Xenopus tropicalis: one gene and its partner. The protein of the gene in region 1 purifies or fractionates together with the protein of each later gene. This does not show direct contact. Links are inferred from orthologs where the notes say so. Each region holds a gene or a part of one and is shown in the gene's direction. Other genes may lie near its edges.

The links. Proteins that work in one complex are often made in the same cells at the same time.
Region 2: the proteins of kiaa1522 (region 1) and wasf1 purify together in Homo sapiens (affinity purification with mass spectrometry; 3 studies listed by BioGRID and IntAct, with this or other methods). This does not show direct contact. The link is inferred for Xenopus tropicalis from reciprocal best matches to the Homo sapiens genes NHSL3 and WASF1.

Annotation. Positions count from the first base shown.
Region 1 is NC_030678.2:90,225,649-90,229,305, reverse strand, and holds part of kiaa1522 (uncharacterized protein KIAA1522 homolog), read left to right. Parts: intron 1-327; coding exon 328-471; intron 472-566; coding exon 567-616; intron 617-1,320; coding exon 1,321-1,429; intron 1,430-3,657. UniProt on the Homo sapiens protein: Able to directly activate the TNF-NFkappaB signaling pathway.
Region 2 is NC_030681.2:77,469,094-77,472,750, forward strand, and holds part of wasf1 (wiskott-Aldrich syndrome protein family member 1), read left to right. Parts: intron 1-158; 5' UTR 159-186; coding exon 187-319; intron 320-2,288; coding exon 2,289-2,423; intron 2,424-3,657.

The DNA of each region.
Region 1 (3,657 bases):
ATAAGGAGGTAGAAACAATAGGATTTCTACCTCCTTCTGCCGATTCAGCCCTGACGGCAGATTTTGCTCAGGCGCCTTCTATGGCGCCCAATCAAAATCTTTTGACCTGGCCGATCAGCGAGTCGACCGATATCAGCAGCGTCCTGCTTTAACCTCTTAAGTTTCAAGATCTGCTTAGGTGCTTTTTCCTGACGTTCCTTTTTACTTATATCAGCATAGGGGTCATTTATTATGAGAAAGGCAATGTGCAAAATGCTAATATAATATTATGTATACTATAATATATAGCAGTGTCACCTCTGTGAATTATGATTATTTATCCTCCAGAACAAACAAAGCCCAGTAAGGAACCCAAGCCAAGCCCAGCAGAGGAACCTCTTGACAATGGCTTCTTTCCTAGAAAACGCACAGCCCTTGTGGAGGAGATTCACAACCAAGCTCAGGAGGGCCTTAAATCACTTCAGAGAAGAGGTATGTTTTTGCGGATACACATGCATTGATCGTTATTTTAATATATTGTTTTCAGCTTATGCCTCCTCAATAATCAATTATTTTACCTCTCTCAGAGAAGCAGCAGAACAAGCATCAGCCCCAAGAGGAGAACCAGAGCCCTTTGGTAAGTTAGTCACCAAAGGTCTGGAAATAGGGATTCTGCCTTCCTATATTTGTATATTTTTCCATATTAAAAATTATGCTTAATGCAAATGTTATTACTGGTCAGGTGGCTACCTACCCTATCTGTGGTTGATAACCCTGCATACACAGCACAGTCATTTTTTTTCTTTATTGGCCTGTGTATTGCTGCCTTAAGACTGTTGTGTAAGATGGAGGGAAGGGGTGTTAAACAGCCTTAATAAGTACAAAGCAGGAATGGAACACCTTTGATTGTTAAAGCCACAGACTGGTTTGTGAAGAAGCATTGTATCAGGGGATCAAGTATCAGGGGATAACCCTAATAATTCCAATCACAAATTGTACTTATTCATTGAGTCATATGGCTGATGCCTGGCCAGGTAGTCAGGCAACAGGAGACCAAGTGAATATCAAAGAAGAAGGTGTGCAGACGAGAACACATTTACTGGGCAATTATTAAGCCTCATTTGCCATTTTGGCTGACAAACTGCTAGTGTTTGATATGCTAGAGTCTTTGTTTTTGGACAACACTTAGTGATAATTGTCAAATCGGTTAATAACTTTTAATTTGCATGAAAACGTTAGCTTCTTTGTGGCCAACTTTATACTTTACTACTGTATTTATTATCTACTCCCTCACAAAATGGCAATGGCCAATTCCTGCTTATGTTTTTCACTTTTCTGCAGCCCCAACCAGACAGTACTGATAATGGCTTCCGTACACGATCTCTATCCTGTGCCACTGAGACCACTGACGATGCCATGACTGTTCGATCAGAAATGATTCAGCGCAAAGGTAAGGCAGTGGAGTTATTATTTGTGAATAGGCTAAATCAGTGCACATTGGAAAATGTGGAGAAACAGTGTTTAAAGGACATAACTGTTATGCATGAAGCCATTGTTCTAGCTAGAGACCCCTAAGCCCTATTGTAAAACTAAGCTTGGTACCAATTTTTGTTGCTCCTGTTCCCAGTCATCACTAGTTTCTTACATAAACAAAAAAATTAGAATTATTTGTTTTAACCTGAGAACATTTGTAAATTAGTTTAAGATAATGGTGTTACGAAAAATAGATTTAATTTAGAAAAAAGTTATTGTCACTTTTCTGTATGCATACCACTATACATGAAACTGTCTCCTTCCTTTTTCAGTGCACCCTTCCCACCACATTAAAACTCCTAGTTGCATTTTTGTAGTTAAGACTTACATCTAAATTGCTTGTGGGGGCATTATGATGTGATTCCTTTTGACACAAGTAGGAGAGGTAGTATAAACAGTTGTAGGAATTTATAACTTTCACATCATGGGGGAAAAAAAAACGTTTTTGTTCTGTAAGGCAGTGCTGTACTGGCGGCCTGCGGCAGTCTTCCTTTTCCTTTTTTGTGGGAAATCATTCCTTTTATGAAGTATTTTGTACAAAGGGTAAAGATAGTTACATAGTTACATAGGGTTGAAAAAAGACCATTGTCCATCAAGTTCAACCCATCCGAGTAAACCCAGCACACAACCTATACTAACCAATCTATACACTCGCATACATAAACTATATATACAACCAGTAATACTAACTGTAGATATTAGTATCACAATAGCCTTGGATATTCTGCTTGTCCAAAAACTCATCCAGGCCCCTCTTATAGGCATTAACAGAATCTGCCATTACCACATCACTAGGAAGGGCATTCCACAGCCTCACTGCCCTCACCGTGAAAAACCACCTACGCTGCTTCAAATGGAAGCTCTGTTCCTCTAATCTATAGGGGGGACCTCTGGTGCGCTGATTGTTTTTATGGGAAAAAAGAACATCCCCCAACTGCCTATAATCCCCTCTAATGTACTTGTACAGAGTAATCATGTCCCCTCGCAAGCGCCTCTTTTCCAGAGAAAACAACCCCAACCTCGACAGTCTAACCTCATAGCTTAAATCTTCCATCCCCTTTACCAGTTTAGTTGCACGTCTCTGCACTCTCTCCAGCTCATTAATATCCTTCTTAAGGACTGGAGCCCAAAACTGCACTTCATACTCAAGGTGAGGCCTTACCAGGGACCTATAAAGGGGCAAAATTATGTTCTCATCCCTGTTCTCATGCCCTTTTTTATACAAGACAGCACTTTATTTGCTGTAGTAGCCACAGAATGACACTGCCTGGAATTAGACAACTTGTGATCTACAAAAACCCCTAGATCCTTCTCCATTAAGGATGCCCCCAACACACTACCATTCAGTAGATAGTTCGCGTTTATATTATTTCTACCAAAGTGCATAACTTTGCACTTGTCAACATTGAACCTCATTTTCCAGTTTGCTGCCCAGTTTTCCAATTTTGTCAAATCGCTCTGCAAAGCGGCAGCATCCTGCATGGAACTTATAGTTTTGCACAATTTAGTGTCATCAGCAAAAATAGAAACAGTACTCTCTATGCCCACCTCCAGGTCATTAATAAACAAGTTAAAAAGCAAAGGACCAAGGACTGACCCCTGCGGTACTCCACTAACCACACTGGCCACTCTTTGTACTCTATCCTTCAGCCAGTTCTCTATCCAATTACAAATATTATGTTCTAGGCCAATATTCCTCAATCATTAACCTTCTGTGAGGTACAGTATCAAACGCTTTAGCAAAATCTAAGTAGATGACATTAACTGCCATTCCAGCATCAAGGTTCCTGCTCACCTCCTCATAAAAGGCAACTAAATTAGTCTGGCAAGATCTGTTACGCATAAAACCATGCTGCACAAACTAATAGTATTGTGAACTGCAATGTATTCAAGTATCCTATCCCTTATTACCCCTTCCAGAAGCTTTCCTACTACTGATGTCAGACTTACAGGCCTATAGTTTTCAGGCTGAGAACGAGATCCCTTTTTAAATAATGGCACCACATTAGCAATTCGCCAGTCTCTCGGCACCATGCCAAACCTCAACGAATCCTGAAAAATTATGTGAAGAGGCTTGGCAATCACAGCGCTCAGCTCATTTAATACCCTGGGATGAATCCCATCCGGCCCTGGACCTTTGTTTAC
Region 2 (3,657 bases), on another chromosome or scaffold:
ATTTGTAGTCTAACCTTTACATACAGACTTGTCAAAATATGGTGAAAATCCATGGCTAATGTGCAATAATTGCCATTAATACTACATAAAAATCAGCAATACCTGCTTATACTTGCCATCTCACAGTGGGAGCTAAAAACCTGTTTTGTCTTTTACAGATGTGTTGGTGCCCGGCTCTGAAAAAGAATGCCTCTGGTTAAAAGAAACATCGATCCTCGGCACTTGTGCCATACTGCTCTTCCCAGAGGAATCAAGAATGAACTGGAATGCGTTACTAACATTTCACTGGCCAATATAATTAGGCAGTTAAGTAGTCTAAGTAAGTAGCTTTATACATGTTTAGGAGCTTGTTGTTAATCTGCTCTTATCTTGTATTTATGCTCATATTTGTGTTGTCGCTCTGTATAAAATATATGCACATAGAGTTCTGAAAATTTTTAGAAATCACTGATACATTGCACTTTTAGGGATATTATACCCTACATGTCATCCAGATATCAAGATGAAGCCCCAAAATGAAAATAGCGCATAGGAACTATCATGGCTTACATTTCAGCTATTGCAAAATCAACACATTTATGCATTTTATTTGGAGTTACAGCAACAAAAACTAAAGTTCATCCCAGAAAACCATATAGTTTTGGAAATGACCTATTCTCTGGAATCCAAAATGGCTGCAAATGTTTTTCAACTGCAAATTATTCCTAAACTTAGGTTTCAGTGACATTTCTGGAAACTTTTACTTTACTGCACTTTATATCCTACATATCATTAGTGCCATTAAATATGCCAAATAGGAATGCCAGTGCCATGAATGTTTTCTGAATTAACATTTTAGTGCCACATGCATGCTTATGTTTACCAAAGTATGTGGCATGTGGAGGCATCAAATGAAAGCCATGATAGTTCATATGCATGGTTATCATTTCTGCTAATTATGTGGTATATAGTCCCCTTAAAGGACAAGGAAAGGCAAAGTCACTTGGGGGTGCCAAAATGTTAGGCACCCCCAAGTGACTTTAATCGCTTACCTTGTACCCCGGGCTTATACCCCTGTTAGGAGAAAACAGCACCAGCCCGGGGCACTTTGGGCGATGTGCTTCCTCCTTCCTGCTTCGTTAAGCTGTGACTATGAGTTAGGCGCATGCACAGTAGAGTGAAAAGCCGACTTCTCTGTTAAAGTTCGGCTTTTCACTCTACTGCGCATGTGCGCGCGGCGATACAGGAAGGAGGAAGCGCTGCAGGTACCCCGGGCTGGTGCTGTTCTCTCCCAACAGGGGCACCAGCCCGGGGTAAAGGGTAGGCGATTAAAGTCACTTGGGGGTGCCTAACATTTTGGCACCCCCAAGTGACTTTGCCTTTCCATGTCCTTTAAAGCATGCAGGTTATAGCATCATATGGCCCGTATTTTTCTTTATTTACCATGATTAAACATCCTAAAACTAACACAGGGTTTCCCATATATATGGAATGTTGAGGCCCCAAATGGAAATACAGAAAGATTTTCCTGGGTAACTTAAGCTTTGTTATAATGTTATGCGTTGTAAAGCCGCCTTACCATAAAGAAAAAAATCTCAAAAAACCATATATTTTTGGAAAGTACATATTCTCTTGAATTCAAAAGGGTAACAACATACTCCAAACTACCGAACTGCAAAAGTACACTAAACTTAGTAGACAAGTAAAGAAAGGGGGATGGGTTGGATACTAAGAAGCAGTTACCCAACATGCACTTTACCAAAAAATGGTTGGTTTGTGAAAGGACCAGCCAGAGCCTGAAAAAGTTGTTTTATGTACTATGCGTTTTTGCAGTTAACATTGATTTTCTATTTTAATGCTGAATGTCTGAAGGTTTCTTTCAATTTAACACTTTGTTAATTATCTAGAAAATGGTACAGAAAAGAAAGCAAAAAAGGGAAAAAAAATTACAACACTGGAAACATAACATACTTAGTAGTAAAAATAGTAGAAACAAATGATGAAATAATTGGTCACACCAGTAACACTTATCAGTTGACTGACCAAATTATATTAACAGTCTAGTTTGCCAGTGTGTTTATTAGCCTACCTCTCTGTTTACCTTTGGTCCCCAGATGTAGGGCTCTAGTTCTAGAATCTTAGGCACAGAAGATTCTTCCAGCAATAAACAGTATATATACACAGGAAAATGAATAGAAGGTAGTGTTAATATTTATCGAGTAACAAAAAAACAATTTCTAGAGAATGCTAACTGTGGTATCAATATTGAAGCAACTGTTGATGTGTAATGCATTGTTCTTGTGTTTCAGGTAAATATGCAGAAGATATATTTGGTGAACTTTTTAATGAGGCACACAGTTTCTCCTTCCGAGTTAACTCTCTTCAAGAACGTGTAGACAGGTTATCTGTTAGTGTAACACAGCTTGACCCAAAAGAGGAAGAACGTAAGTTCTCTATGGCTTTTAACAAAATATTGTTTGTTTTGTTTTCTTTGCTTCATATCTTGCCTGTGCATATTTGAAAATTTTCACTGTAATAAAAAAAATGACTTGTTAAAAGGACAGGCAATTCATTGACAAGCTGACACAGCTGAACAGTTGCTATTGTCTGTAGCCAGCGCATGAAATAGGTCATGTGGAGTTCCACATTCCATTGCATTTAATATTACAATGAAGGAAAGCATTACAGTACCATTCCATGTATAGTGGATAAAATGCCCTGTCCTGCTTAATGCCATGTAACTTATCTGCTTACATTACAATGACCCTATTACTCCTTGGGGTATATGGTAGTCAGGTAAAATAAGATTATGATTTGTACACCTTTTCTGATTAAGGAATGCAGATTGTTTCATCGGTTAATATTCACTTGGCCCATGTATGGCCAGTTTTGTTGCGTTAAATAGTCTTCCAATGAATGTGGCTTTAAACATGTAAAATACTTTAGTACTTCTCACTAAAAATTAAATCTCTAAAGTGTCTTGTACAAAAATTTTCAATGTGTTGTTCATAATGTTGGGACAGGCAGCCTACATCATTGCATTCTAAGAAGGAAAATCAATGCTTATTAACATGTAATTTCATCACATTTGAATCTGAATGTCATTGTGCTAACTTCCAATTTGTTTCCATATTGCTTTTGTTCCTCAAGTACCCTTAACCCCATTAGATTGTAGGCCCCCTGATCCTATTCTTTTTTTAAACTTTATTTTTATTTTCCAAAAGTTTCACCACAGCTTGTTTATGAATACATACATTAAATAAATGCTTTACAGGTCAGTTGATGTTCATAATAAATTAAGCAAAACCCCAAACAATGTAGGTCTCTATAAAATATACTGCATAAACAAGCTCATATGTAAACCCTGCTTCATCTAAATAAATAATTTTCACAAAAATATACTTGTTTAGTATTATGGGCTATTGGGTAATCCTAAATAGAAAATTGCCTTATTCTATACTGGTGCAAGGGTTACCATGCTTGTATGCTATGGTTGCTAAGAGAATGGCATGAAAGCACCGTGGGCCATAGATGTCTCGGGTAGCATAACCCTTGCTTATAACTCTAGTGGGCTTATTTATCAATCTTGGATAAATTTGTGAATTCAAGTTTGTTTTTCATAATCAGATAAACTGGCATATCGAATGGTCATTTATTTATTAATAAGGTAAACTCATT